Styela clava: one gene and its partner. The protein of the gene in region 2 interacts with the protein of the main gene of each other region in a pairwise test. Links are inferred from orthologs where the notes say so. Each region holds a gene or a part of one and is shown on either strand. Other genes may lie near its edges.

Region 1 (17,278 bases), on a different chromosome or scaffold from region 2:
AAGTGTTAAACCAGCTGTGCCAATGTTAATATTATGTGGGATATTCTATATATGATTCAATTTACATTTTAGGCATAATCTGTATTCTGTATGTAGAATACTATTGCAAACATTTCATATATGCCTTTCTGTTTTTTGTGGCCCTTTGAACTTTAGAACAGCATATTTACCAATCCTCCCACATTCATTTTATAGGGGTATTACAAAATATTCCAATTCATTGTTTCATGTACTTATGTTTTTGAAAGAGATTGGGGATGCTATTTGAGGATTCTTGGTGGATTGTGATGCAATAATAATTATGGGGCTAATAGTTCACAGGTTTTATTATGAATCACATACTGAATAAGGAGAAGTAAATCTGCAATAAGGTTTCAGTAATAGCAGCCAACGGACACATTCAAAGCAATCTGCTATATGTATATGGCCATACCTTATCTAAAAAAAACAGAACAACAAAGCCTAAATTACACTAATATCTGCTCAAATTAACTCCACAAATATTGCTCATAAAACCATTATAAATGAACACCAATATACATATATCTAAATCGAACAACATATCAGATATTGAGATTAATCGATAGCAATAATATTTAGTCGAATTTAATATGTGTACACTTATTAATGGGCTTATGTCAAAATGTTAATTATTGACAGAAAGGTTAATTTAAAGGGTACTCGCATTACCAAAAAATACCCTTAAGATGGGCCAATGGCTCACAAATCCCTCATTCCAAAATACTCACAAACGTTCAAATGGTGATGTCTAGTACTGTCTAATCTATGCAGCAGCAGTGCAGCAGTGTGCAGTGCCTATTGCATATGTAGCATTCAAGGGTATGAAATTTTGTAAACAAACAATGATCGTTTGTACATAGTTTTCATGGACTGGCATTTCTAATTCATTTAAAATTCCCATTAACTTTGCATGGAAAATCTTTTCATTCAAGCCATTGATTATAGGATACAAATTCAAGTTTGCAAATCAGTTTAAGCATTTATATATGATAAAACCATTGCCATTGGGTTAACCAAAAAGCAGGCTTCAATTAAACACAAATATGTAATTATGCATGAATGGAATTATTTTGTTCATCCTCTGGTGCTAGGTAACCGTTCTTCAAATGCCATTTACATATAGCAAATGCTTAGGCGTAAGAGAAAACAGATGTTTAATCATCCAATTACGCTATAATATAGTATGCATATCAATAAACTTTATGTCATAGGAAAACATATCTAATATGTCTCAGACAGACTATAAAACCGCAAAACGAACGCTGTGTAATAGTCCTATCGATCGAAAATTAGAGTCCCTGACTTTGCATGACCCCAATCAAGCTATATGAGCAACAACCTTCATGAAATGGTATCGATATGCGCATTAATTTTAAGCCCAGTGCAATAGGGAAAATAATTACTGTAATGGTACATTGAATGGGCATCTTATATAAAATTCTGAAGAATCGAGTAAAAGCAACGGGCATAGGGGCATTCAAAAGTCTATTTACAACCGGCTATTACCGCATGTAACATATATAAAACATCATACAAGCACTCCAATTTAATTTACAAAAGCAATCTAGCCTCGGCAATAGTATAATAATGCTCCTAACTAATGATACAAAGGCGAACATTTTTATTGACGAAACCACCAATCAAATAAAATATTATGGAAGACTTTCACAATGTTTTAACCTCAATTTTGGAAAATACAATTTAAATGACCAGCTGTAGTACAGCAATGCATACTAAAATACGATTCAATTGTTTCAAGGAACCAATATCACCATAGTTCAGGATGTTAGAAATATGCATTGCGCAGTGGCTAAAGGTAACATCCGAATATGCACCTTACATCTCATAAGCCTACTAAACCTGTCGTTAGGTCTAATGGCTTCCTGTTTTTATTCATAAACAGAGGCGCGCAAAAAAATTGATGCTTGCCGTTAAAACCAATAATTGTTCCACGCGGGTTAAAGTGGCTCTTTTGTTGTTCGCGCTTATTATTTCTGACAATGCTTGCGAATCAATCAACCGTTTCTTAATAACAATACAGTGAAAATCTCAATTTCAATATACAACGATACAAACAAAGTTTAAATGTTCTAGCCAGATACCATTATTGTTATTATTATCACACCAATACGCAGATACTTCAAAATATTAAGTTACGATGGCCGACTGATTACATCATGTCTACACATTTATAACGCTACATAACTGGCGTCAGAATATGAAATCATCAAACTTAGGAAAAATCAAAATATATTTCAATAATGATTTTTTTATAGTATTGTTTCAATTTACTCTCGGTAAGATTATCGATAATATTTATATTGAAAGTTTCCATATTTATTATTTATATTTATAACGTTTCATGATATTGGTAAAATCGACAGTCAAAACAACCCGCCGAGACAAAATTGTCAAAACAGCCACATAATAGGTGTCTGATAGTCATACTAAGAAGCAAAGAGAAACAACGTCTATCCTCGTTTTATCAATGTAACCCCTTTACGAATCTGTCCTCATTAACAAAACAGCAATATAATAATATGATGAATAATAATTAACGACTATATGCCTAAACATGTGTCGTTTTTACACTAACAGAAGCATAAAAACCAATTACTGCGGACCCAAACTGTACGACGATAGTGAATCGTATCAACGAAATTATTTCTGGGCTAAGATATCGAATGATAAGCCGCCCATCACAAATTAACAGTGTAGCTACTAGCATTACCAAAGCCTGTAGATTGGGCCACTGAATCATTAGGTCATATTTCAGGAAGAAGGCGTTGCATTGTTGCATCATAGCACGCATGATGCGGTACTTCCTCGACCAAAAAGTTGATTATAAATTGACATAGTCGATATAAATAATAACCCGAACAAGGCACCGCAATTCAGAGAACTCTGCCACAAAAAAGGATGCAGAAATAGCCTAAACCGTGGTCGCGAGTATGGGAGGATTTCATCTTCTATATGCTAAATAAGGACAAAAAGACACAATAATAGTACAACTTCAACACGAGCATTAACTTAAGTATAGTTTCAGAGTATTTACGTTCGCTGGTCATATTCTGATTATCGATACCCCAAATTTGACAAGTATGACGCCAAAACATCGCCAACAGATATATCGTACAATATTTTTTGTTGATTTAATCAGCGTCATTATTAGTGTATAAAGTATAAACCATGACACACGCTCATCAGCCTTCACTCGATGGCGCCGTGTATATATATGTACGTAAACACATCATGAAGTGGAAGCATTAGACTGAATTGACGGACTTTCCAGAGCGATGGAGGATGAAAGCCCCACTCATAACGTCTTGCACTTCGCCATGGTCATGAATGATATTGAAAAAAAAAATCGTTTTCGTAAGACACGTTAAAATTCACTTTTATTCTAATATTATAATATTATTGCGTTAATCAACATAGCGCGATTACAAGCTCGCGTGCCGCAATTCAGGGCAATTAGAATAATTGAGCGCAATGCAACAATGCATTGCGATGGTGGACAACCATATTCGTCGATTTTGATTTCACAACCCTCGTACTTGTTCCAGCTTGATGCAGGTCGGTGACACATTGTGAATAGTATGTGGCAATGTCAGCCAGAAAAAGGCTTCGGCGTATACATGCCAGATACTAATGCCTTTATGTAGTAGTGACGTACATGGCAACAGTTCAAAATTAGATGTAGACAAATATTTACAAATCAAAAGTCGTGCAATAACACGATACTACTGTATTGCAATTTATATCTTGTCCTGGGCCACATCTGGCCAAGCATGAAATTTAATCTTAAACGCTGTTGTAAGACATCTCTAGCGGTCCCACGTGACAGAAGTAATTAGGACGCGTCCCTAGCGTCTACGTTATACATTTTCTATTCTTTTCATACTTACGACACCAATACCGATACAATTCAGGCTTGAGAAACATGAAACGGCGGACATATCAAATTGCTCTCGGAGATCATATTTGGTCGGATTTGTGATCACCTTACGCTACATGACCACAACCATTGAACTATACCGACAACAAACGTTTGGCTAGCAAATCATATCAGAAATTAATTAGCATTTCAGCTTCATTTTCAAAAGTAGAACTTCTTCGATCTGGCTGGTAAATCACATTCTCAAACATTAATAATTTATTTCGAAAGATGTCTGTTAAATCATTGTTTTAATTTTTGGTGTATAATAAAGTGTTTGGAATTGACGCACTTATATCTAATGAATACTATAAAAGTATGGAAAACGAAATGATTAATTTCAATTTGTTATTTGATTAAAAATTTAGGCGAAATATCGGGCGGGTTCGAAAAAGCAGAAGCAAGACTTCTTCACTATACTATCGTTTCTGAATGTTACAAAACGGGATGGAATTTGGCAACAATACAGACTAAAAAAACAGAGCGACTTTATTACCAAAACAAAAGGGTATGTAAAAGCAATGAAACGAAAACCACTTAGTTGATAGCCAAACGAATTACACATATATGACATCGAATCGACTGAATAATTTTAATAAGCGTGCTGAAATGAATCGATTTTGATATGATACAGACACATTAATGGTATTGAAGCATAAGAACTTGCATATTTTCGAGAATAAGTAATGTGATGAGATTCAACGACGCGCCTCGGGCTGTAATTGCTTGACATTCGATTTATCTACAGAATTCGCACGTTCGAAAAATAACTCAACTTTGTATGACTCCGTATAATGCGCAAGGAGCGTATATGAGACCGGTATGGTTTGGTTGGCAACCTGTTGTTTATTATTAAAAGACGAATTTCACACGAATAGTATAAAATGCACTCTAATTCAATACATTGCAACTGGCTTTCTGCGGACCGGACTACGCAGGATTCATGCATTTCAAATAAATCTTAAGAATATTCAATGCCCATCCACGCGGATGCGGCTCCAGTTTCTATATATTAATAGGAAATTAAAATCGGGAATAAAATCTGAAATGAAGGGAGTAAGTAGCCTTGTTATCCCAAACATCGGGTTATAACAATCTCAAGTTATTGTCATTTCATTCTGATATCCGACAAATGCGCACCAACTCATGAACGACATGGGAAATAGAGTGTTTATGATTGAACAAATATTTCTGCAATAAATATAAGTTTGTTTGCTGAAGTTGTTTGATGTGTCTGCGTGTCGGAGCCTGAAGTAATTCCGTTACAATCCCTTATTTAAATAGTAAGTAAATGAGTTGGATATTACCGACATTGAGACAAAAGTTTTGCTTATACTGCTGTGTACTATATTGTAGGTGTGGCAATATAACGCTTTACATTTAAAATAAAACTCCGCTCCATCTAGAATCTTATCTCGGTGAGTACAAGTCCGCGAAAAAAGTTTGTAAAATCCTTTAATAGTTGAGCAACGAATTCAGTTACATTTTGCTTGCGCGCCAAAGGTGCGCTCAAACACATTAGCAAATTCTCAACATAAACACAATCTACAACGACGGCTTCAGCTAGCAGTCTCCGGTGACCAGCTCAGTGTTATGAGAATAATTGAATTGCTGTAAAAAATCTCTGTCTGGCCAAGTTTAAGAATAGACGATTTGGCCATGAAAAAACTCAATCCTCTTAACCATACTATCAATGAACACTAAGCGACCGTGGACCACCGTTCCTCTTATGCCATACCTCAACATACACAATGTATATATTACTGGGATCCAGGAAGCCCAAAGAAAAATCGACAATGATGTTCGCCTTTTCTGCATATTGTATTGTAGAGGCTCCTTAGTAACATATGAAAGGATGACTCAGACATAAATTCCAGGCCTAAGTAAACTACTTGGCAATGTTTGTTAGGCAATTTGTTTTTACATTGTATCTCGGGGAAAACAATATCAACGTTGGAAAAGGAAACTAACGTGAATGCCATATATTGCAGTTTCGCAATATGACCAGACGAATCCAACCGCGAATTGAAATATATAACTTGTCGCATATTCTGCGATAAATTACGACAACGACTAAACTGATATAGATCGGGAACAGAACTTCGTTGCGTTGTTACTAAAAAAATCTAAGGCGTCATTTTATTTGAAAATAAGCTGAAGATCACGGACTATCCTTTAGGTTTGGCGTAAACTATATTTCATCGCCCCGTCAAAAAATAAGCACCACACGACGATAGAATATGATATAAGAAACATTTCCTTCTATAAAATCCATTGAAATTACTCCAAGTAAACTTTGATTCGTCCACTCAACCAGAATCAGAAGTCATGGTACAATGGCCAGTTGTATAAACGCCGTTTCACAAAATGAACATGGAAATCTTCAAGTAGGCTATCACACCGCTCAAAACGACCACCATCATACCTTTTGCTTTCCTTCTATGATGCTTATACCTTCTTGAATTTCTTAGTCGACAGTCAGCGGTGCGTTTTTCCAGGGGTATTTTGCGTCTACCAGCAAGAGTACAATGTGCAGCTGCTAGGTGACAGCTCGGAAGTCGGGACACCCCGAGAATAATCTTGCAAGGAGCGTCCATAAGGCTCATCGTCGCCATGTCCGTCTGACAATCATATCCACACAGACAAATGAAACCCCCCAATGGCATTAATATTCACATAGTAGTCGCCCAGGAGCGAAAAGATCAATCCCTATACTTTAACGCTTATCTCCGCCTAAGAAGATCTCGTGAAAGATAATTTCAAAAGCTAAAGTTTAAAATACTGATGATTATGTATATTTATCCATATGCAAATGAACTCACCATAAGAAATAAAATACATTAAGTATAGAAATGTAATTAATTCGCATGTAGAATATTTAATACCGTAGACATGAAAATTTAAAATTACATTACTGTTTCAAATATATTTTTTTCACATTCGATTCATCGGAATTACATGTACGGTAAATATTTAGCTTTTGAAATAATGTGCAGTTAATTCAATTGTTATCGAAACGACAATATAAAAAATTCCGAAAGACGAAACCACGTTCTACAAACAATTCCATAACCACACAGAACGTCCTCCTCGATACTAATCGCGACACGTGCTAAATATAGAACATAAATGTCTGATATTAGTTTGCTTAGGGTATCTTCCCTATCCTTGAAATCCAGAGAAAACAAGAGAATTTATTAGGAGACTTTGAACTTTACTCAGGAATTATTGCTATTTTTATTTTGCTCCATGTCACCTTATCCTAATGTCTGAATAGATGTCCGCCTGATTGCTAATTTCCACAGAAACTTACAAAGAACATCGAGAAATCTTCAATTAACTCCTATTCTGAATTTGAAATATACCAACACGCCTGAGGTGATATGCTCCAATACGCAAACATTTGCCATTTTATTGTCTTGCTCACCAGCCCTACATGTTGGAAAGTACTACGAAGTGAAAGACTAATTGCTACATTCTCACTGTTAAATTGCCATTCAAGACAATAAACATACATTTCCGGATCGCTAATTTTCGTTAAATTTTATTGCTCGCGTACAACATTCGGTTTTGCTTTTACTAATAAAGATTAGGCTTGTCTGCGAATGTCCATTGAATAACACACGGCTGAATATGGACAATAAAATAAGTGCTATTTACAGCGGAATACATTTGTGACTAATCTTCCACATGCAATAAACGTGAGAAGCTTTCAGCATTGTGAAAATTTTAGCGTCGAGAACAGGCGCCATCTAATAAATAGGTTTATACATTTAACAAGATATATTAGAAAAATTGGGGCCATGCTAAAACGGAACTAGAGACCGTACGGAGAAACGCGAGCGTAAAAGGGATACGATTGTAAACACACAACAATTCTAATGATTTTAAATAATAGTTTTTAATTATAACCGGCATTACTTTAAATACATTTGTCGATATTAAAGTTGAAAAATCAAAAAGTATTAAATATTTATTTTGATTGATTTCACGTCTGGAAGCATTGGAGTTGGCTTCTATCGATAAAATTTCCTGGCTAATATATTCCTTCAATAATAATTTATTTTCAAAAAAACCCTTTACAACTAATTTATCGAATTCGGAATAAATCCAAAATACAATTTTCAATGATACCAACCATCTGTAATTTCTAAAGCTTAGTATCAGGAAGTTTTCCACTAACTTGAATAACGACTATCTATTTTATTGAATCATCATCAGTAGTTGAACATCTATATATTTAAAACAGCGCCTATTTGATTTTTCCTTGAAAATATCACAAAGCTGTTTACACTCAAACATGTCTTTCTAAATGACCTCATCTGTGAACCTGGCAGTGGATTCTGAGACCTTGGCTTAATTTTCAAATTTAAATAATTGTACTCACCAAATTTATGAATAAAAGACATTCTTCTATCTTCTTATGATATAATGTCCAAGTGATTGTGTTGACAATAATACAATTTAATATATAATTCTGATGGTTTAATCCAAATATGACAAAAGCTTAGCGCATTTTATACTAACAAAAGCAAACAAGAAAATAATACAATAACAATTGTTCAGACAGAAAGTGGGCCATTTCAAACCAGATTTTTCATGTTTGGCAAATCAATTTGGAGCATAAAACAAATTGCACCTGAAAGTAGTAAACTATATCTCTATATTATGCTATGTTTAACTGAATTCAATTGATTAATTGTTAATATTTCATATAGCTATATTCATTTTATGGGTATTTGTTGTGTTATAGATGTCATGGCCAAACAGAGTACTAAAATAGTGTCAATACAAATTGGAATCTTCACAGTGAACATGCACCATGTATTCTTATTGGTGTATTCATATAAATTTGCTTATGCTATTAATTAAACCTTAACAATGGATTGTTCATTAGTTAAATATTGCGCTATAAATCTGCACATCTGTCATAACCTGGAATAATCATACAATTCATATATAGATTTTGCACAATTTCAATAGTTCTATCAATCCTAACAAATCTGCCTATAAATCCTCTAAACTTAAATAATAGCCCGGCAAACTTGAAACTAAAGATTTGGTCCATTTAGGCCCTCCACAAAAACGGAAAAGAAATAGCTTTAGACAAGCCCGTATCACATTCAAGTACGATAGTTACAGAAGGTTCTGTATAATTGCCAAACATAACATGAATATGGCATTAAACATTCTCAGTTTGTGTTTCTATGATCCAAGATGAGTTGACCGCTTGTTATATACCGGTAAGTACTGTTTCATATAAGTACCCATAAAAATATAAAATTATGAAGTACAATATATTTCATATAAAATGAAAAAGAGCTTATGAACTTGGAAAAATCTCACATTACCTAAAAAGGCCCATATGCTCAAAATTTGATCAAACTGGCATCATTTTCATACACTACGATTTTGAAAATCTCCACTTCTAGTCTAGCTTTATCCTCATTATTTTTTTTGAAAAAATCAATCAACAAAATGAACAGCACACTACAATGTCTAGCTGAAATGGTTCTATAAATTAAGATGCTGCTGAGCTGCCTTTGAGGAAATCTAGGCTATTTAATTTAATACTAATAGTTGAACGTTCCTGCAATAGCAATTCTAATAGTCTCTGAACAATGTCCGGTATATGTCACTGCGATATCACAAAGCAAAGGAAGTAATATTGGAAGGCTGTACTGCTTGAGACGGTCAATTAGTCAGAAACTGAGTCACCTATAAACCGGTTTTAGACTAAAAAGGAGTATTGAGAAGAAATTGCATGGTGTCATTTTATAATGAGTTATCTTTATTGAAATGTGTCATGTCGAAGTGACGAACGCCTATTATTTTGAAGAGACATGGTGGAAAATAGAAAGCAAAATAACAGAATAAACTGCAATATGTCTCTTTTTATCATCTATAAAAGCATTCAACTTGTTGCTTATACAATTCAGTCAGGTTAGACAGTTTTTTGAATATGTCGATAGTTGTGATGCATGAGGGTATATGCATGATACCATAAGTGCGTACTACTGAAAAACTGATAGAGTTACGATTATCTGAAATTGTACACAATCTAAATATTGCAATATGATTGCAGTAATAACATAATAGATCCTTCAGTAAAGCAGAAAAAATGTTATCTAGTCACTCTCACTAGTCAAGATTTTTCTAGATACAATAAATTTATTTATTAAATCAGCCTAACAAATTACTAATTTGTCCTGTCCTTTCAATAAACGCCTGCATACTAGTCTGCTAAAATAAACAATAAATACTGATACGAAATAAATAGTTGATCGAGATTGCTTCTGACGCATAACTTGTGATCTCTCAGTGCTTGATCAATTGGCAGACACGCACACACACACTACCAACCAATCTAATAATATAAAATTACTTTTCTCAAGAAATTTTGATGGTGACAATTTAATTTATATTGATTTTAATTGGTTTGAAAAGTTCAACCATGACTGGTATATATTCTATTTTAGTGAATAACTAACATATAAAAAGCTAATGAATTATGACAGGTTATTATTTTTCAGAAAGACCTCATTCTACAGTTAGACTATATTTAAAAATTGATATGAATTTTGTTAGTCAGTGAAATGTTATGATAATAGTAGGATTTAAAACCCTTTTCTCTGCATTCTATCAAATATATTTCAGATGAATAATATGTTTTGTGACTGGCGGAATTGCGTTGTAGTCCAAGTAATACTAAGTCATATGGGGTAAACCTATCTGATATATCTATTGATTTATCTTTATACACTATCCTTAAAATCAATAATATATTCAATTAATACTTATCTTGTTTATACATCTAAACACAGAAAATTGGTAGATAAGAGCATCAATTATTTCTGAGATAAGTATGGATATGTTATGTTAGTATTGGTAATTTTGGAAAATAATGGTTTTTAATAAAAATAAAGCATCACATAAGCAATACAAAAAATGCTGGCTTATGATATTTCAATACATATATTCTAATATAATATTAACAGTATTAGTCAAATTGCAGGTTTCTATGGAATGGCCGCATTTGAAAGCTATTTAATTGTTTTTGATTATAATTAATCAACTTGACACAACTGGGAGACAGAATATGTTTGACAATGAACAATGAAAAGTAAAAAATAAATGTACCTATTCTATTGACGAAAGATTCTCCTTTGCATTTTACATAGTTTGATGGTACTAGTCCAACAGTCATCATCTTATTTCGGACCTGAAAAGTGAAATAAAAAACTCAGTCACGACAAGCAATGGAACACTTTTCAGAACTACATTACATTCATCTCAATTTTTGAATGTGGACTCGGATCATGCCCAACAGTTATAGAGGTGAATTAGATGTTTCTTATTTCACATAGCGAATAATCAAAAGATTGCTGTAAAAATTAATATTAGCATATAGCTGAGTGATAAAGAAATATCGCAACTCAGCATTCTGACATATTACGGCAGTTAGTCAGTGATTATAATAAAATTGACGTCTTCAACCCTGTTTTAAAAAAGAATGATCGATCACATCAACAACACAAGGCTTTTTGGTGCTTTCAGTCAATGATCATGAATAGAAAATTTATCAAAAACGGACACATGGATACAATGTGCCCATTTCATACAAATCTAAAAATCCCACCTTGTACCAGGGTCCAGTGTTATCCAGAAGGGTGAGTTGTTCATTTTTTCTAATGCTCAGTTCTTCTTGATCTTTTGCCTGATAGTCATATAATGCAATTACCATATCTTCATTTGGAGCACTCATAATGCATGTGTTTAATGTTGCCTTAATGCACTCAGTGCCAAAACATATACAACTACATAAAACCTACATCGAAGACCTTAAAAATTCAAAGCAGAAATTTTAATTTCACTCTTTTGTACTAATGTGATTACTGGCATGAGTGCATTTCCAGATTTCTAGTAAAAATTCGATCAAAAAAGTCAATTTGTTGGGACTCGTGTAGTTTTGTACCTAACTTACTTCTAGTGGGCGTAGCACAATAATTTTTTGATATGTCAATCCTAACCCCCATCTGACTAAGCCATCCAAAAATTATGTCATTACAATGTCACAATCACGTCATAGAGCTTGTCGAACATACGTACGTTCGCCCAAAATGGCATCAGCGCCAACGATAAAAGACTGACTGACGTCATTGATTTCTCTCCTATTGGGATCGTTGCAATGAGAAAACGAGAGAAATAGCTGTTCGTTTTCTGGTGCTTGTCTTGGTTGGCAGTTCGTATAGTTTGAAAGGCTCTATTACGTCACTGTGATGTCGTAGTGACGTAATTTTTGGATGGCGTCAGGTGGGGGTTAGGATTGACAAAAAATTGTTATGCTACGCCCTCTAGAAGTAGGTACGAAAGTACAAAACTACATGAGAACCAATTTGTATATACCTGTTTAATAAGCAAACATTTTAAAAGCATAACATAAAAATGACATAAATCTTAGCCAATAAGTAGGTCTAGTTAAATATACTCAAAAGAACAACATTCTGACATTCACGAGAAACATACATCACTAGATGAATATTTAAAATTGTTAAATGTGGATTTTTATATGGTAATCGCTAATGAATAGAAACAGGTGAACACTGCTAACACAGTAACAAGACTCATTAGTTCAGTAGTTCCTGCACATCAACAGATTACTAAAACCTGCATGACAGGGATCCCTATTTTTGATCTTTTAGCCTGGACAGCCTGGAAGCATACCGTATAGAGAATTGAAATGTATTCGAATAATTAATTTCTCAAGCCCTACAATACCTGAATACAGCAATACAAGTCTGCAAGTATCTATTTGAAATACCACAAGAAGGCTTTATACAAGGTTATACAGAATTGGGCTCAAGATTTATTAGCATTTGAATGCTGAGCTGAAAAAGAGAAGTAAAGTATTCGTCCTTTCAGTATGCAACTATTCGTCACTTGAACTCAAATATATCAAACACATTTTAAAAACAATTAGGTAAACATATTTGCTAATTAATACAGTAATATTACTGTATTGTGGAACCTGTTTCTGTTTGGAACCGGGAAAGTGAACTAGTATGAGCATTAAAGAACAGTAAACCAATCCATCAATTCGGCCGTTACGGTACTGATGCCCATCAGAACTAATTACACTTTAGGTCCTCAGACATTTTGTGCCGCTTACCAGCGCACCTCCACTTACCGGTACCCTTTCTTTAAACTTTGACAACGAAAGTCAATTGTTCTGTCCAAAATGTTAGACTCAAAATTTGGTTACGACAATTCATTTTTTATATTTATTACCAAGGAAAGACGACTCAATCACGTGACGAAAACCCCTGCCTCCTAATCAGATAATCATAAACCACGGCACCGTACCAATAGCAGAATAGTGGAAATAGTGCTGGAGGAAACCGTCACTGACCCATGTTTACTCAAGCCATGAACAAATATTAATAATAAAAAATAACTTTGCCGCAACCTCCAAATCCAATAGTATAGCAAAGCCTCACGATATAAACTCTTTTTGACAGTGAATGGACCTATCTAAGGAACTGCGTTTCGATGCGGACGCGATTGATGCGAGCTGAAGATTCGTTCGTGTACAAGAAGAAATCGCGGCTTCCGTGATTGAAAACAAACAACGGATTACAGAATTAGCGAATTTTTGACCGCAGAACTAGAAGAGCACAATGGGGATGCAAAAATATATGATATTTTAACCAAATGACTGCATGCAAGCCAGAAGATAAGGTTGTTCGAAATTAAGCTTGGACAACTCTTCTAAATGGGGCTGGGTCACTTCAGTGGGCTGGGTATACACATTTTTGTGTGGGCATTTTTATTGGATATGTCGATAATCGCCCATAGTTTTGTGATATTTAAGAACGAAACGGCGTTAAATGCTTGCATATTTTAATCTATAAATAATTTTCTCGTTCGTATACACGCCGCCTTGACTTATCACGTGCACAGCGGCTTTTAGTTAACTGTTTTGTAAGTGAGTAAATGACACGCAATCTGATCACAAATTGAGACGCCTGAATACTAAACCACCATGTTGTAATTTTCTTTCTTCTTCGTGTGTGGATGTTTTACTTTTATTTTCAGAGTTCGTTCACTTCTCAGATTCTTCGAATTAACTTTAGGCCTATTGTTCTATTTTTGCAAATGAATCGAAGTAAAATCTATCTAATATGTTGTCCTAGTTTCGTCACTCAATTATTTTAGACATTGTATCTGAAATTTAAAGATCACCTCAAACTTTTGCACTCGCAATTCCTACCTAAAGTTAGATAACAAATATAAACGCTAAGATTATACATTATCATTCGTACAATCTTTCTCTAAAGAATTGGCTAATTCCATCAGACAATTTAATGAAAAATAGAGAATCGTTTGATATAAGTTCTTCATAATCGTAGAAAAGCACATCAGAATGTTGCAATAACTCGGGTGTGTTCGAGTATTGTTGGGCGAACCTTGCATGGTTTTATCATGTGGCAAATTCAAGCACAACAAATGATCTTAGGCGAAAGTATTTTATCATATCTTTTCATGAGTGTAATCTTGATTTATTTAATATTCCGAAAAATGCGTGTCTCAATTTTTTGTACTCGACAGTTTTATTTTCTATTTAGATTTTTTATTTTTAAATTATATCGAAAGATATATTTTCAATATTCCAGGAACTGTTCATACTTCATTGTTATATTTTTAGAAAGTTTAAGATCACTTTTGAGTCTATATTTTTTATTTCTCATTAGACTTATTTCTATTTTGTCGCAGACTTATGATAACCAGTTCGGGTCCTTCTCGATTATCAGTCAACTGGAATCTGGTATCATGATGTAAACCGCTTTATCTTCAAGATGTTTATGATTCTTGCATGCTGAAATAAAGGTATTATCTAGGATCGGGAAACAACATCGGGCGTGAGGATAGATTCGAAATGTATCTGCTCAGATGCAACACCTGTGGCTTTGTCAACTGTCTGCGCTATTTCATAGCCACAGATTAAACACACGGGAACGCCCGATTCGCCATGAGACTAAGGAAAATTTTTCAGCGTTCCCGAGTTTCGTCTGCACGCACACTTGCATACATAATGATTCGGTCATTTGCTTCGTGATGTTGAATCATATAGCCTAATTTCTGGCACTTGGCAACGGGTTATAAAAAGCCTAGATTTTGGTTTAGGATAGGATTTTCACATTCCTTCCAAGGAAAGTCGGTAACACTGTTTAAATAAAAGGCGTGCCTACCACGGCCCCTCGTCTGGTTGGCAGTTCATGTCGGGTAAGGGATTAGTTAACGAGATGATACAGGATGACGAAGGAACAGTACGGTAACAGACTAGTCCAGCAATCATCTCGCAGATAATCATCTTCATATGATTCGGACCTACAAATCCATGCAACGTAATCAGAGGTTCGATGGCAAGCATACTCCTATTGCATGGTGCGACGCCCAACAGAAACTTATAGTTTACTATATGACAACGTTTATAGGGTTCATTTGTGTTGTATTTGAACATCAAACCTGTAACATGTATGATTGAAATTTACGTCGAATGTAAAAGCATACAGTTCGTGCAAAAGTAAAGATTGCTTCATTTTCAGGTTACTTTATTCACTGTCAGATGAAGATTCAGACAAATTTAATTTCTCCTCTTTAACAGCAGGCTTTTTCTTTCCCTTGGTCATTCGAGCCTTTTTTTTACTTCTTGAACTTTCTTGAACAATTTCAGCATTGCCTTTAAGAGATGCAACTGCTCTTCGTACTCTCTTGCTTTTCGCTTTGTTTGTAGTTAGATTGGATACAGGGGTAAAAAATTGTGTAACTTTTAATTGAGCTGATCGGCGCTGCCCCAATTTCTTCATTAAAGGAAGCAAAGTTTCATCTGCCTTGAGTCTTGAAAAATTTGAAAATTAATATTAGAACAATCAGAGGCAAAGGGATAACAAGTCATTACTACCATACCGTGTCCATCCCATTGTGTTGACAGCAAAATTACGAAGCTCATCCAAATCTGGAAACCCCCATTCAAATTTAGTGCTAGCATCATCAACAATTGGTTGTGTATATGCCTTATAAACTGCTTCTGATGGAAAATTTTTGTTCAAATTAATCCTGCGCAACTGACTCTTTATCTTGGTTTCTGTGGGAAGCACTTGTGTTACCTGTAAAATATAAAGCACATAATGAGTCAGCTTGTGAACCAGTCAGTCAGAAACGTTCGTTAAATATTTGATGGATAGACTAATTTCCTGTTGGGAATAAGATTTTTTTAGCTAATTCATGAAATATATGAAGTTGTTGGATGCAACTGCCTAAAGATTGTTGGCCCCAAAGCCTCCAGATTATCGCAGACCCGCAATGTGCTCAGACCACTCAATAACATTTAAATAAAACCGGGCACACAGAAAGACGGAAACAACCCATTAGACCATTGATGCAGTGGTTAGTATATAGGAAAAAAATCTATATTTCATGACAGAACTTTGCTACAATTGAAAAAAACAGCAATTGACGACAATTGACAATATAATTGCTCTGCATTTTTCAATCAACATTTTAATTTAGTCCCTTGCCGCCGCCGTGCAACAACTTTTCACAAAGACTTTAAAATAAATCAGCAATGATTGATGCCAAATTTAACATACTTGTGGCAGGGATTTCTGTTGTTTTTACTAACACAAAGAGAGAACTTACTCGTTGACAAGTCTCATCCCACCACTTTTTCAAATGAACCAATCCTTGAATGTCTTCCCCTTCAAACTCCTTCAGAATTTCCAGAGCTGTGACTGGACCCACACCATGAATGCCTGAATGAACAATGCAGGATTGTTAGAAAAATGGAGAATATTTGAAATAAAAAATCTGAATATCCTCTCAAATATTCCATAGTTACAGCTACTTGATGCAATGTAATGATTTACGTGCATAGACATCAGGGTTGTGAAGTTGAAAAATTTTACAATCAACTTCGTTTCCCGGCTTGGGGTTGAACAACAATTTTAATTTGGATCAGAAATGAAACTCAATGTCCAAGGAAATTTCAACTTTACTCCAGCTCTGAATGCCAGAGAATTTTAAATGTTGGACTCCACATCTGATTGATAGATATAATTGGTGAAAAATATCAACTAGCAATCACATAATACATAATAATCTAAACGAGATACACTGACCCACATTGTTATACAAAACAAGTTTCACAAACACCTCACTCACATCCTTGAATTTCTAGGTCAGAATAAAAAACAAACAACAAACCTGTTGTATAATCACTGCCAGAACACAGAGCAATACAAATAAATCGATCTCTGTTTA
Region 2 (17,116 bases):
AAATAAAACTCAATTTTGTGATTGTTAATGTGTATTTTAGGTTTTTTGAAGTTTAGTGGCATAAACTATAAATATGCATGAAAATTCTAATACAGTTAAACCAAAATGATCTTCAAAGTGTAGAAGTTTATTAAGAAGTATTTGATCATAATATTTGAACATTATAGATATCATAACAAACTCCGATTTGAATAGAAACTTAAGGAACCCCGGACTGTACTCTAGTGCAGGGAGGGCTACTCAACTATTTTTACCGAAGGTCCGCAAACAGAACTTCAAAATTATTTGGGTCCGGTCTTTACAGAAATTATATTGCGGCATCCTTAAACGCACACTTCCTCGACAGGAAGTATTGATTACTAGCAAATAAGTTTGTTTATTAGGGTGTTATAGTTCTTTTCATATATATTCAAAACTATGAAAGTCATTTTATAATAGGAAATTCAAAAAGTGGGGCTAATGATCCAAAATAAATAATTAGGTGCGGTCCAAATCCAATGCTCGAAAGGTCCGGATTCGGACCGCGGTCCGCCAGTTGAGTAGCCCTGCTCTCATGTGCCACACTAACGCGATTGAAAATCTGTTTCACACTATTGTAAGTAGAATATAATACAGGGGTGTGTGCGTCCTTTGCTACAGGAGGGTCATATACAAATACCTGGGTGAAATCGTGGGCCGCACCTACTTTAACATAGGCCAGGGGTTCCCAAACCAAGGGTCGCGACCCCAAATTGGGTCGGAGTGATAATTAGGCAGGGTCGCAAACAGGTCATGGGGTCGGTGGGGTCCTGAGGTATGTCAGAGGATGGATGTACAAAACATCTAAGATTTGACAAACCATGTTAAATTTAGCAGTTTGTACCATGGCATACTGTAAAACAGGCCCATATGCATCACTATATGCTTATGCTATAGAAAATGTAGGTGAATATTGTGACATCACTGTTTGGTTTTAGCGTATTTTACTAAATACCACCACATGACCAAACTCAAACGTCCAGTGAAAGAAGCTCTAAAGTTTCATGAAAAATATATATATTGACCTGGGGTCGCACTGGACACTTGAAAGTTGTCTTTGAGGTCGTTCTGTAAAAAGCTTGGGAACCCCTGACATACGCTTTCTAGTTGTTGCAGAGACAAAAATTGATCTAACGTCACAGATAATAAATTAGACTCAGGTATAGGATTTGCAATGCAAAGGGATCGGGATTACTCACACATACCAGAATAAACTAAATTGAAAACTCATTCGCACACCATTCAAAATTGGCACTTCACCGCGGGGTGCACAATTTTTTCTTGTGGGTCACATTTGGCCCAGGTGTCACAACAACCTTGACAAAAAACAAGAACAATCAAATTACTGTCTGTATGCAACTTACTTAGTTTGGAGAGAATCTCTTCGTCTGAAATTTTTTTCTTTTTCTGCTTTTCTATTGTTTGTTTGTTCACACCTGGTTGCGCATGACCGCCTCCTGTTGCAGATGGAAGATTCGGGACACCTAGTGGTTCTATCACAGATCGAGTGTATATCTACGAAAAATGAAGTAGAAGAATTTAATATCAAACTAAAGAGTTTTGAAATTCATAGTTTTAAAGTTGTAAGTTTTGAATGTCAAAATCGCAGTTTCATAGTTGGAAATAGAATTTTTCGATAATGCTCCAATAATTTGAGTACTGTGTTACTTTTGCAAAGCAACGAACACTTTTAAACGTTTTAAATAGATTGCAAAAATTGATAGAAAAGTGAAAATAAGGCAAATTTTTATACGAAATTATCAAGATCTATTAGCAAGGCTCAGGTAGCTTAACAATGCTCTAAAATTCAAAATGATAAACCTTCAAAACTGTTCACAACTGGTGAATTTCCAGATCAAGCTTACACGCTATAGAATGGATGTACATACATGTATATGAGTCAAAGGAGGAAGCGTAAAAGTACACAGGAGTGGACCTATGCAATATATACAGGCATATACACCAGTATGCCGTAATATGAAAGTATGTGCTTGGAATTGATCAAATGCCAAAGAGTGGAAGTCTACAGCGTTCGTAGTAAAAGTGTGAATGTATACATATTTACAAGTTTTGAGCTTACATTCTATTATACAAATTTACCGAATGTACACACATAGGCAAGTGTGGAAGCATGTGTTTGTATCCGCGAATCGAAGTTTTCATTTCAAGGTTGTATTTTAACATAATAAATGAAAAATTCTATCAAACAACATAAAATTTGAATGTAAGGCATATAGAAATTTTATTTATCATATGTGCATTCTTGAAGGACACACATCACACATGTAATAATACAATATTAAATTTCATCTCAATTCCAACGAAGCCAAATTGACACTGAAAAACTGTAAAAAAAATCACCAAAAACCATGCAAAAATTTACAAACGAAGACAACACAGACAACTCACCGATTTAGTGTGCTCAGGTCTAGGAGCAACAATAGGAGGAGGTTCCAGGTCGTCATCAGATTCCTCATTCACAGAATCTTCATCAATGTCCTCTTCATTTGCTGTCAATGGAGCCGTCGATTCTGTAGTGCTCCAATTATTTGTATCGGACGTCGTTTTTATTGCTGGAATGTTCGCACCCCCACTTGACTAAAAAAAGAAAATTTGAGGGTGACAGAGTAAATGATTTTCATATTATCACTAGGGAAACCAGACCAGAAAACTCAATTATATGGTGAACCAAGGCCTCTCACCCAGTTGACAGTCCATGTCAGCATAGGAATAGTTAAAATGAACTTTGGTGAAGGCTGTCATAACTGACAAGTGTTCAAACTAGATAGCCATAGAAGGCCGCCGACTTATCAATCTGCGGTTTTGATTCTTTCGCTCTGACTCACCAAGTGTCCCACCACTAATTAATTACACGGCATAATTCATCCAAAATCAAGAAGCCTCTGGTCCGAGATATGATGGATGTGAATGCACATGCAAAATTTGAAGCAGATTCATCCTCCCACGAAAACAAACAGACAAATACCTCAAGATCGATAAGTAATAAACCACGTTGATACGATGAGGAATCTAGAAGGGTTATACCTAGCAGAGCAATCTCTCATTTAATGGCAATCCCAATTTTTAAAAAGATGCACCAACCTTGGAGCCAAATGGTTGACCAATGATTGAATAAAAAGTTGATTTCGCATGACATGCATGCCTGGACATCATTTTGCTGAGATTTTTGAATTACATTCGATTATTTATTTAACAAATATCAGAACATTTCCATAGTATGTCTTCTAAATGTCTGTGTTGGCATTTTGTATAATTTAGAATTACATAATAAATTTGGAAATACTGTCACTATTGGAATATAACTAATTAAACAAATGTTCAAACTAAAATCCAAAAATATATGGACACAAATTAACAGGAAACACAGGAGTAGCAGCAAATTCGATTAACTTCCTTATACTAAACAGTGTTGTGAAACTAAACATATAACCACTGATTAGATTCAAAATTTTAAGAACAGTTGATATGCAAAAATCGGAAAGCTAATTTGCATCGATCGATGTCAAGTTAATATTTCATTAAGACAAATTAAGGGCTTTGACCCAAAAGAGCTAAACCTGGAAATGGTGTTTTAAAATAGGTTTATAAAGGCCCTTTTTTTGAATTTGTCAGGAGAACGATTTTTTAAACTGTAACATTTTATTGAAATACTGTGGTAAATGAGATACCAGCTTTAACAGCACCTAGTTCTTTATAATAAAGTCTCTCTACAATTTCAATTTTGTTATAAAGTCAATTTTCAATATATCTTGTCCAGGTTTGTTGTTTTTTATTCAGTAATTGTGCAAGTATGTTTACTTCATTTAATACATCTTTGAGGGTCAAAACAATATATGGTATCGATAAATTCCCTTTGCAATTTTAAATAACTTTTCAGACACCCTATACTTCATGCAAATAACATTTCCAATGAATGTCAACTTTAGCCATTTTGTTTTGCAACCTTTGAAATAACCAGAGGAAAGAAAGGCCATTGTCTTGCATATGCATAAGCTGTCTTAATTAATACCATAGAAGGAAAAGAAATTAAAATGTCATGTTTTATAGCACAGTCACAACAAGATGAATCATACCACAACCTTAGGTGATGGGAATGTTAAACAAACAGTGAGATCCCACATAGAACAGTAATACAGGAGAAATATCACTGACACTGATTGTAATACCGACATATAACGAGATTTTTCAAGAGGACGTACAAGACGTGTGGCAAATTGTGAAAATAAGGCATGGGGGAAAAATTTCACATTTTGGATGACATGACAAGGCTCTCTATGTCACAAGTAATTGCATAAAAGGCCTGGAATTCATATAATACTGAATTTATGGAATTTAATATTTGTAAGACCAGGGATGGCCAATTCGAATAAAGTATTCGAATGTATTCGAATATCTCGTCATTCGAATATCGGAATTAGCGTTTATAAGAATATCGGATTTTCGTGTGACGTCACACATTTTCGACGCCGCTCTCAAGACGTTTCCGTTAAATGAAAACATTCTCGATAGAAACTTGCTCGCGATTGCTTTATCAGGAGACGTATTATTCAGGCCGTAAACGCCTTTACGCTTGTGTTATTTTCTCTAAAACGCAAGTATTCCACAAATTTGTTCCACGATAACGATGACAATTATCTATTTTTGTACTCGCGCGGAATTGTGAATCCGGTGAATACGTTCATCGGCGGCTAGTTTCTAAAGAAAACGCAAATATTGAAAAGCGGCAATTTAAAATACTGAAAATAAAACCGTAAACAAAATGTGTTTCATTGAAGCCCGCGACAGTTTAAAAAACGCTTTTCTAGGCGGTGGAAATCGCAAAATTTCCAAGATATGTTTGGTCCGCGTTTAGAAACATATCATCACTAATTGAAGGCGGGATTTGCCTGATTACCCATTACTTTAATTAAATTGCCGTCGAAAATTTTTGTGTTAACATTATACAAGGTTTGAAACGCGACTTTTACCGTATTGTGAGAATGTATATAATAATACATTTAATCTAAAGAATATTCAATCAATTTTTATTGTGCTGAAATAAATTTTAGTCTGAGATTTTACGGCAGATTTATGGATTTTTCGAACGGTTTTATCTTAAAAATAATCGGAGTGGCGGCATTTCGATTGAGCGGAGTCAGTGTTACACATTTCAAATTTGCCGAATTCGCAAAATACGGATCAAAACAATATATAATCGGGCAGTTTACCACACATTTTTATTTTTATGTCCGCGATTGTCATGGTAAATTAGAGTGGTGAGGATTTTATTTTGTCGACGCAACCGCAGGTTAAATTGAAAGCAATTAAATTAATAAAGCAAGACATTTTAAATATGCCCGTATCGGTCACGAATTCATCACTTTGCACAACAGAAAAATATATACAGTATTCGTTGTTATATTATTCGTTGTAAAAGTCGGTTTTTTAATCGCGCGATATGTATTTTTAACATATGCGGGGAATGCGGTGGCTGTTACATCCTAACTTATTGCTAATTCCAGATATAACGATATGCTACACATAATAACAATATGGTTCACATGAATTAATATACAAATATACTGGTAGGTAGTAGAATACTGGTAGGCTTAAATATTAGAATTTGTAAAGGCATAATGGATATTAGATTGTTGTTGCTTGTTTCAGTTGCCTGTATTGCTAATGCATTTTACTACTCTCAGAAAATATACACAATCATCTGAATACAAATAGTATTTCTGTCAATAAACTTGACTATCATCATAATATCATGGTACCAATGATAGAAAGCGTCAGACAACTCCTTGGCTACCTTTCCATATGGTCATTTATACTAAGTGTACAATTTTAATAAACTGACTGTGTCACAAGATGCTATTATTTTTATTGATAGCTATAAACTATCAATTAATTTGTGTAGATATACTGTTGGTTTGTGGCTTTATTCTGGTATAACTTTTGAAGTTTATTCCCTATTTTATTGGGTTTTAATAAACTTAAAAAAAGTGTGTTATTTTCGATTTTAGAATGTATTCGGAATTCCAGATTCGAAAACATTATTTTAGAATGTATTCGGAATAGTTTAGTATTCGGAAATGGCCATCCCTGTGTAAGACCAAGGCGATATCATGCTAGCATAGCAACAGAATGACATAAATCATCATTGCATAAATGTGGAAAATCATACCCATTTTTTTCAATGTGGCAAATTTATTGGATCAAAAATACTTTATCATCAAAACTTTAATTAGTTTCATCAACTCTAACGTAAGCCAGCCAGCATTTTCTGGTGGACGGCTAATAAATTATGGCAGAGGTACACAAAAATATAAATTTTTCCCCAATAATTCGCCTCACCTAAAAAACTTCGCCGACCACTGTTTATCTTTATCAGATAAAAAATTAAATTTGTTTAAATTTTTTTTAAAAACTAAACCATAATACAAACCTTTAATACTGCAGATGATTCGAACGAACTATTCTTTGTCATTTTCATATATTTATTTCCACCTCCTTTCTTTTTTTCTGTCATGTCATAAAATTGTAAAACCTGAAAATAAGTTGAAACAAGTGTTAAATTCCATACAAATTGGGCGACTATAGAACAAAAATTGTGTGTTTTAAAGAAACCTACATTACTACAACAAATTGGCAACAAATGACTTGAATATATTAGAATATTTCACTTTTATTTCACAGGAGAAAAACGGTGAATCTCATCTGGCTACCAGTACATGTCGGGTATGGTAACGGTTAATCATTAATTTGTTCCAGATACATAGACTTGAAGATGGAGGAATTCGTAACAGATGAGCAGTTAAGCAAATCATTGAAATCCTTTAACAGTGAATAATCCAGATGTGCCAAAAACAATGTGAAACCGCCAGGCTTGAGGCTTTCTTATATTATTGTTCACTGGTTTTTGAAATTTAAAATAATGTTCATGCTCTTAACAGTTTTGAAAACATACACAATTGATTGGGATTTCCAATTTGAGTACGCTCTTACAATATAAAGTATTGAGAAATCAACATTATAAAGTTAAGTTAAATTATGTTAAATATAAAAAGTTTTCAAAGAAGATTGAGAATTCCGAAATTTGAATACCTTGAGAACCAGCTGTGGATTCTTCTTTTGTTCTGTTTTGCTGATATTTGATGTTTTTAATAATCTTGACCATTGTTCAGGCATTCCCTGGAAAGAAAAAATTACAAATAACACTGTGAATGTCATTAAGATTATCCTGAATTTGGCATCAACGGTTAAAATCCTCTCAGGCTTCAGAAATACAACAGAACGAAACTTCATCTTGTCTACTTACCGTACATCCTTGTATATAAGCAGAGTTTTAAACTAAAAAAAAAGCCGAAACTAACTAGGGAGTTTGGCTTATACGCGCATACCTTTCGCGCACTAAAAATTTGGCTTGTTACACACGTAACTTTAATCGCACTAAAGCAACCATTTGCAGTGATGAGTAGCATGTAACAATTTGTAAGGTTGATAATATGTTAATTTTTATCAATCCATGTTTTAGGGCCGTTTTTAGGGGTATTGGCTTAGATATATACCATATTGGAATATACGGTAGATGAGCATAACACAATGGTTGAAGTACAGACTTGAGCTTTATGTACTTCGTATCAGCAGTGAAAATGTCTGCCTTAGAACTTTCCACTCAAGCCAAAAAGTCAAGTCAATAACTCTAGTTATAGCCACAAATCGCTATCCATGGTAGTAATACATAGGCAACATTTGGTGAACTGGAGAAAATAAAATTTCAAGCATTCCCAGTGTGGAATGATGTGAAAATGATAAAAAGTAAAGAATTTGATGCCCATTTTGCTAAGATTAGCTTCAAATTTTCTTATTTTTACATCTTGGTATCACGCTACATCGAACATTATAGATCAGACTTGGGCAAACTATGATCCGTAGGCCAAATCAGGTCCGTTGGATCCGTCTGAGGATGCCACAGCCAAACTTAAACCAAATTTTGATGTTTTAGCTAAAATAGCTCCAGAGATTTGTTGAGATTGCGAATAAATTTAGTTTTGGTACAAGGATAATTGTTTTCCCTTTTTGTCTAGGTGGGCAAAATATTTGGTCCATGGTCCCAAAATCTTGCCTACCCCATGTTATCAGTGTTCCCTCTAAGGTGTGAGCGTGTGCGCGCGCACACAGCTTTCAGAGGCTGCGCACATGCATAGATTTACTGCGCACAGACGTATTTCGATATAATGTAACAATGTTCTCGGTTGGCAGGTTGAGTTTGTTGTTGGCTTACCCATTATCCGGTTAGAACGCCAAAATTTCTTCATAGGTTTTTGCACAAATATTGGTCATTTCCAAAAAAGTGCGCACACACCAAAATTTCTGCGCACACATACTATAAAAAATTAGAGGGTACATTGCCTGTTATAGATTAATAGATTTGAATATCTCGAAAACAGCTGCGATCATGATCTCACAACATTGACTTCAACTTACAGTAAATTCTCCTGTTACTGCATCGAAACCGACATGCACTGTATGTTCAAAATCTTGAGGATATGATATTTCTGGTCGTTCACGGTCTCGTTTCCGATCTAAATTATTAAAAGTTTGATAAATAGGCATCGAAAAATGTGTTTAAATGTTTAAAGATGATACAAATGATAAGTATATAAAAGATAATACCAATGTATTATAGATATCAAATATGATGATATTTCATCTTGACTAGGCTAAATCATTGAAATACCCAACATAACACGAGCGTATCGTATACAGAGATACAAGTTTAGTCCAATTTACAAAACAACATGCGTAATGAAGTTTATTGCACAACATGGATCAATCTATACACATAGAAATTGACATTTCATGAAACTTATCACTGTATAATGTTAGTGCACAGAAGTGTTAATTCGAAAGCAAAACAAAATAACAGTCAAAGTTTGAGGTAGATTGATAGTTTATTTTGAAAAGCTCCTGAACATTGGAGATGGTGAATTGTAGAGGCCAAGCATAACCTTAAAGCATAAAACAAAAGAAATAGAATGCACTCGCAAATAATTCTGTAATTGAGCGAAACAGCAAAAACACAAACTGGGGTAAACAATGGAAACTTACTTTTATCTTCACCTACAAAAATACTCTTTAGCTTATTTTTCTTCTTTTTATCTTCTGGAAGGGACGGGAGAGGTTTCGTTGTAGATTGACTTGCAAAATCTCCTTTTCCATGAGCGGCACTGGCATGTCGGACAGGTGGTGCTGGGGGCCTGTCCTCGGAGTCATCGGAATTCATTGACATTTCGATTTTAAAATGTTCAAAAAAATTCTATGTTCCAATATCCAATATGTTTTTTTCTCTTCCAGCACAGTACGGCACTATGAAGAAACGTTAAAAAGAGATCCAGAGTCCAGTTGTAATAAAGTAGCAACGTCCTATTACCGTACACTACCCAGTTAACAATCTGAAAAACAAAGAATTGCCCAGTTAGTTACGGTCAGTGTCAGGGTGTGGTACAGTACCGTAAGTGCAGAATTGAGACAGACAGAACTAAGCCAAGGCTGATGCTCACGGCGATAGTCAATTTAGTCTACTATTTAACCTTACGTCTCAGCCTTTTTATTATACCGGCGCTATAAACAAAGCCAATATTACCTTTAAATCGATTATCTATTGGAATTTGGGAGAAATAGACTACAAAACAGGGCATAACAGGTGCCAACTTGGCAAAAACAAGAATAAATCGGGCCCTGAATCGCGAGGAACTGGAGTCTGGAACTGCAGACGGCAGGTGCACCTCCCAATATAACGTACTAAACACCGCCCACTACGACCGAACTATTTTTTATTGAGGTTGATTCTGTGGACACAGATCTCGAGTTTATTTCGACTCCATAAGAAGCAGTAGACGATAAAATAATAAATAAAAACAAAAAAGGAAATAGCTGATTATAGAATCGGGAGAGCAAACAAAACCTTATGTAAGGTTCGAAGCGTACATATTTCAGTTGGAAAGGTATTGATAAAAGAAGTATTACGTGTTCGCTCATCCAAAATGAATATGGCATTTTCATTGTTACATACAAACAACCAAGTTTTGAACATCGACATGAAAAGAATATTTGTTTCGCTCCGTTATCGACGAATATGACAATGCTATGACAAGTATCTTTATTATTTTTCAATGAACTTGTATAGTAGAGGTTACTGCAAGTGTTGAGCTGGAAAAATCGTAACAACCAGAACGCAATTAATTCGTGAAAATGTATTATATTTACGGCACGTCCACATACGCTTTCCTCGAGTTGTGTTTTCCCCTAAAAATGGCATATTTTCATATTAAAGTTCGTCACCACGTTACAAATGAAATTTATCCAGCAGACCAGGCACTTTTTTTTACTTAGATAGATCTTCAAGCGCGATTGTAAACCTTGCCTTGTTACTTATCGACCTTAAGATCGGTAAGTATGTTGATAGGTATTTGTACGTTTGTCTGTTAGATGCACGCTATATCTCACGAAGGCGAAGTTGAATCTGCTTCAAATTTTGCATGCACATTCATCATATCTCGGACCAGAAGCTTATTGATATTGGATGAATTATGGCGTATAATTAGCGAGTTAATAATTAATTAGTGATGGGACACGCGGTGTCACTATTCGGTCATGAATCGAAAACGCAGTTTCGAACGATAAGTCTTCGGTCTCCGACCGATATTCTCGTTTGTTTGTTTGTCTGTCTGTTAGATACACGCGATATCACACGGAAGATAGGTTGAATCTGCTTCAAATTTTGCATGTGCATTCATCTTATCTTGGATCAGAAGCCTATTGATTTTGGGTGAATTATGTCGTATAATTGACGAGTAAATAATTAATTAGTTATCGGACACACGGTGTCACTATGGAGTAAGAGCGGATGAATCAAAAATGCAGTTTCTGTTTTGGGGGAATCCCCTAACTTTCGATCGATAAGTCTTTGGTCTCCGATAGATATTCTCGTTTATGTAGTTTCAGGTTTTGATTATATTTCCAAAATATAAGTATAAATAAAATGAATGGCCAGAATAGACGACGCTGACATCAGTTGTCATTACTATTTAACAACAGCTGTCTGATTCATTTTAAATATAATGGTATTTTTGAAGCGCTCAACCTGTCGGCACACGCCGGAACTTGAAAACCCTTTCAAAATAAGCATGGAAAATAATATAATGATAACGTATGGATGTATCCCCAAACTTCGGCCCCAGAAAATTTATCTTCATACTTTCGCAAAATAAATTTTGAGAGCTTTAGATCTTATAAACTGGTTTACATTTTTGAAACCAAATTTTGTATCAGAATCATCCGTTCACAAATCTTAATAGCTAATTTTAGCCTAGTCTCTACCGCATAGTCTGCGAGCGGTGCTCTCGAAGTATTCGTACCAAGATGGCGGACATCGGAACGTAATATGGGTAACAGGTTAGGGTTAGGCCATAATTTTTTTCCAATTTTCCTTATTTTAGTCCTATTATCAGTTCGAAGACTAGCCAAGAGCCTCCCGTAGTATTTATACCTAAAATTATGGCCTAACCCTAACCTAGTACACATATTACATTCCGATGTCCGCCATCTTGGTTCGCATACTTCGGCAGCCCCCTGCGAGCAGTGGGTGATCAATTTTTTTGTCACCCGGTTCCACCACAAAAATCATATTTCTTCCCGGTTCTATTACAAAAAGTCATTGAGTGTAACCAGTAATGCTAACCGGTTCGCTGATCTCATGAAATTCCGTAAGGCGGTTCTATAGAACCGGTGCGAACCGGCTAGATCCCACCGCTGTCTGCGAGCCTTATTCATGACAACTGCAACTAAAGATCCCCAGGGGAACTACGAAAACGAAGCAATGTTTACAACCTTACTTGAATATCTGTCTGATTGACAGAAGTGTCTGAGCGACCGCAGAAATTGCAACCTTTCTATTCTCGACCCACTGCCCTATATATTCCTCAATCTTCCTAACCTCGTCTCACCATTCTCTCCACTAGATTATCACCCTCAACTTTTCTATACTCGGCCCACTGCCTATCTCCTTCAACCTTCCTATCCTCCACCCGCTGTCTTCTCTCCCTCAACCTTCTTGTCCTCGCCCCGCTGTTCTATCTTTGACCCCCTGTCCTATCTCCCTAAACCTTAGTTCTCGACCCACTACGCTTTTTTCTCAACCTCCCTATCCCCGACTAACGCACTGTCTTGTTTCTCTCACCTTACTATCCTCGACCCACTACCTATCTTCCTCTCCTTGACCCAACGCCCCATCTCCCTCAAACTTCCTATGCTATGCCCACTGCCCTTCCTCCCTCAACCTGTCTATCCCCGACTAACACACTGTCCTGCTTCTCTCACCTTACTATCCTCGACCCAATCCGTATGTACATCGACCTTTCTATTCTCGACTCACTGTCCTATCTCCCCCTCAACCTCTCTATCCTTGACCCACTACCTATCATCCTCTCCTTAACCCACTACCCTATCTCCCGCAAGCTTTCCATCCTCGACCCACTGTCCAGCTCCCTCAACTTACCTATCCTCGATTCACCAACCTACAGGCTACTACTTCGTAACCAAACTAACCTTGTTTTACCCCCGCTCTCAGTCCGACCGTCACGCCAAACCTCGTCTGCGTGTGATTATGCAAACTCTCAGGTTTTACGGCTCAAGTATGCCAATGAGATGATTGAAGCTTGTGTCGACGAAACAAGCTTATAAGGTTGACGGCATTCGTGACCTATTATTATGGGAATATTTGAATATGAAACAAATGTATAGCTTCAGTGAGTGTAAATGATGACAAAAGTGTTTGAAATCTTCATTGACACTTATCCACATCATTTGCCAGGCCATTTAAATGTAGGCTGAATCGCAAATGGTAATCAATCACCATAATTGGTAGCTCAAATATTTGCTGTTTTACTCAGGGAATACGGTTAATGGGAAATGGAACGGTCTGCTAATACACTAGTTTTATTACGAAATCCGTATAAATCAATCGACCTACTTTTTGAAGAGTTCATAATCTTTCAGCGCCCACAACGGGTCAATCTTCAAATATGGAGAAGTCACGAATTTCACATGTGAACAAAGAAATCTCTTGAAAAAATAGGTTTCGGCGCGACGCGGTTGAAATACTGGAAAAGGTACGACAAATAAAATATCATTCAAAGAATCCTTGTACAGTGATTCAAACCCCCACGCAATCCAACTAGAGTCCAGTAGTTCTCAACCTTTTTTCTTTCGTGGCGCACTTTCGTTGCGTAAAAATTCTGTGGCCTACCAATTTTCTCATGCAAGGAAAAAACTACAAGAAAACAAGACTATTTTTGCAAAAATAAATACTTTCACCCTAATAATTAGAATGAAAAGAAGAGCATCATTCATTGCTACTACAAAATAAATTTGACTATGATGACACAAATGAACTAAACTTTTCAATACCCATGACGACAATCTTGGTTAATTACGACAATTTTCAACGTTCAGATAATGAAAGGAATTCCGGTCTAAAAGAAAACAACGGTTGCTGCGTTGGATAAAGGCATGGCTGCCATTATAGCATAAATGGTTGTTAGATGAATGTGATGTTACCGTATATTGCTATTTCGTAGATTGTCTCAGAACTTGCAAGTCACCCGTTGTTTGTTGCTGTTTTGATTAAGGCAACCCCTCACCGGGTTAGGCCCTCGACAGCAACGAAGCAAGAAGAAAAGGAAGAAGAAGATGAACTACGCCGAAGCCGCCTCAACAACGCCTACACCTACAAGCGAAGAAACAACTGCACCGACTACACGACCTCGCACTCTGTTCCTGACAACCACCAAAGACCTGGACTTCCCTCGACTGTTCGACATCCTCAAGACCGACTCAGCGTCCCGAAACTACGTCGACAACATCACGGGACTGTTTGAGGGAAGAAAAGGTCAGTGGATATGTACTTTTGCCGCCACCGACGACCCCAACTCTAGCTGTGGCGAGCAATTCTTGCACGACACAAAGGGTGAAATAAGAGTTTCAGACGCTGTTACGGTATCGCTGCCAACCGAAGCACCAGTCCGAATATCCATTCGGGGGATACCGGGTGAAACTTCCTACAGCAAGGCCGTGTCGACAATCGAACGACTGCAGTGCGGAAAAGTCCGGAATGCCACCAGAAACTGGTACAGAGGTACGTCCATTTATAACGGATACACTTCCTTTTTTATTGAAAATTTCAAAAAGGACAGGTTACCAGATTACTTGGTCATCGACGGGAAAAGCTGCAAAACTTACCTGCCCAGGGAATTATACGTGCCAACCTGTGGTAGGTGTTTGAAATCCGGTCACAACTTCACCGAATGCGAAAGCGAACCAGTCTGTCGCTACTGCAAACAGCTGGGTCATCTTCTAGAAGATTGTCCATCCAGAAGAAAAGAATTTCCATCGATTTCCTGCTCTACATGGACCCTTCCACGACGTCGAAAACAGCTATCAGAAAACCCACCTCATTTGGAACAACCAAGTAATCAAATAAATATTTCACAACCTGCAACAGTATCGGATTTACAAAATGCCTCACAACCTGGACCAATTTCGGATTTACAAAGCGCTTCACAACCTGGACTAAATTCGGATTTACAAAATGCTACACAATCTGGACAAGTTTCGGAATTACAAGTCAACCAAAATGCCGTACAACCTACACTACAAACCCGGATATACCAGTCGATCAAATGGATTTACAACCTGAATCGACCATTCTTGGACATACTCCGCATGACAACAGGATTGATCCAACCTCGGATGTAATCGAATTTTCTTCCTCCACCGATTCAACCGACTTAAAAGAAGTTAGTAATTGGCAGTGGCGGCGCGTCAATAGGGCTAACCGGGGCAATGCCCCGGTTGTTTTTTCGGTATAATAAAAAATATTCGAAAAATACCTCAATATCGGTTGCACAGACTGTCTACACTAGCCATATTCTCCCGACATGGTTCATTTTTCGCTCGCAAAGCCTTCGCCGAACGTCGACGGGGCGACGCCGATTTTGCCCCGGTTGCTCATTGTATATCGTATTCTCTCTTTTATCTTCCACTCGCCGCGTTTGTCTCGTTTGTTTTCTGTTTCTTTTACTAAATCATCGGGGCCGATCGGGGCTAGCCCCGAAATTAAGACAACACAATGCCGACGTTTCTTACAACAACGTGTTGACATATTCACGCATTCCTTCTCGTTCATTGGTTGCTTGAAGAGTTGATAGTTTCCTCGCCTTCGTTTTTGTCGCTTGTTTCGCTATTTGAATCAGTTAGAGACCTTTAGTCCATTTGCTTTCGATTTTCCACATTCCTTTTGAGCTCCTTTCGGACTCCGTTTTCGCAGCTGCCGCTGGAACAAAAATTAGAGGTACAACGTCTTGGGCCTTATCAACCAAAAAATTGTTCACTGGAACAATCCCATGACGGAGGAAAGCGTCGGCGTACATTCTGCGCAGAAACTTGGTATAAAAAACACGAATGGTTGTGTTACAGCGAGGACAAAAATGCACTTTTTTGTTTTTATTGCCTACTTTTTGCTACCGCCCGTGACTCACGTTGGTGTAAATTTGGTTTTAGAGATCTTAAACATCTTTCCGAGCATGCCAGGGATCATCAATCTACTATGGAGCATCTGGACAATGCAGTAAAATACCGAACATTCGGAAATGTTAATATTGCAGCACAGTTGGATGAAGGACGCGCGGTTTCTATTCGTCGGCACAACCAAAACGTCGAGAAAAACCGCCATGTTCTCGGTCGATTGATAGATGTTTTGAAGTTCATTGGTTGTCACGAGCTGTCCCTCCGTGGGCACGATGAACGGGCTGGCTCTTCTAATAGAGGGGTATTTTTGGATATGGTGGAATACATCGCATTCCTAGATACAGTATTGATAGATCATCTTGATGCCGCAACTGTTTCGAAAGGGACATCTAAGGAATCCAAAATGATTTGCTCGACTCAATGTATAAAATTTATTTACAACATTTGGCTCTGGAAATTGAGAATTGCCAGTTCCTTTAGATTCAGTCTGACGAGACAACTGACATCACGTGCGTTTCCCAACTGGCTGTGATTTTTCGGTTTGTGAAAGATGGTAAACCTACCGAGTGATTTCACAGCTTTGTACCAATCGTTGATTGCACGGCTTGCGGGATATCGGCTGTACTGAAAGAAGTGTTACAGCCTTACAACGCGAAGTCAAAATTGATAGCTCAAACTTATGACGGCGCGGCAGTCATGAGTGGGTCGAAACATGGTGTTCAAGTTTATATAAAAGAAGATTTTCCTCATGCGCATTTTTTACATTGTTATGCACACCAATTTAACCTCGTTATTAAAAATATGTGTCTTGATACCCCTCTCGTCCGTATATTTTTTGCAAATGTTTCGGGGTTTTCTTCATTTTTTTTTCCGTTTCGCCGAAGCGCTATGACCTCCTTCGCCAGATATGTAGCCGCCGTCTCCCAGCTTGTGCACCAACACGTTGGAACTTCCAATCACGCGTAGTGCAGGGCGTGTCCGAAATTAGGTCTGAGCTCATTGAGTATTTCAATGGCATTCAGAGCTCTCCGGTTTGGGACGAACGCTCTGTGAGGGAGGCGGCAGGTCTAAAGCGTCTGCTAGAAGATGGTGAGTTTTCATTTTTTCTCCACAATATTCTATCACGTGGATGTATTATACGGCGCATTGCAGTCAAGGCTAATGGATGGAGCGTCTGTGCAGTCGTGTATTTCAGACTTCTGCGATGCTGTATCTCGTATCCGGGAAACAATAAAATACGACGACACATGGAGTGCTTCTTTACGCCGCGAGCAAACAACGCAGCGTTTGATTTTGTCTGCAAAGGAATGCTGTGACATTCTGGTGAATCAAATAGGCGATCGTCTGCGCACTGAACACCTTGCCGCGTTCTCTTTGATGAACCCCAAAAATTTTTCAAAATTTGCACGTCAATTTCCCATCCATTTGTTGGCTACTGTCTCCAAATTTTACCCCATGATAAACGTGGGTAAATTGGAAAATGAATTGCGATGTATATACACCAATC

Evidence for each region.
Region 1: the proteins of serine/threonine-protein kinase PAK 2-like (region 2) and SH2/SH3 adapter protein NCK1-like interact in a two-hybrid assay, tested with the Caenorhabditis elegans proteins (2 studies listed by BioGRID). The link is inferred for Styela clava from reciprocal best matches to the Caenorhabditis elegans genes pak-1 and nck-1.

What each region holds. Positions count from the first base shown.
Region 1 is NC_135256.1:8,861,406-8,878,683, forward strand, and holds the start of SH2/SH3 adapter protein NCK1-like, read right to left. Parts: upstream 6,715-17,278; 5' UTR 6,625-6,714; coding exon 6,384-6,624; intron 1-6,383. Other genes in the region: DNA excision repair protein ERCC-5 homolog, read right to left, coding at 15,571-15,856, 15,926-16,125, 16,658-16,770, 17,222-17,278.
Region 2 is NC_135257.1:19,375,195-19,392,310, reverse strand, and holds the start of serine/threonine-protein kinase PAK 2-like, read right to left. Parts: upstream 9,476-17,116; 5' UTR 9,314-9,475; coding exon 9,133-9,313; intron 8,607-9,132; coding exon 8,509-8,606; intron 7,213-8,508; coding exon 7,126-7,212; intron 6,569-7,125; coding exon 6,467-6,568; intron 2,617-6,466; coding exon 2,428-2,616; intron 1,534-2,427; coding exon 1,383-1,533; intron 1-1,382. UniProt on the Caenorhabditis elegans protein: Required for hypodermal cell fusion, together with cdc-42 and ced-10, leading to embryonic body elongation, which involves dramatic cytoskeletal reorganization.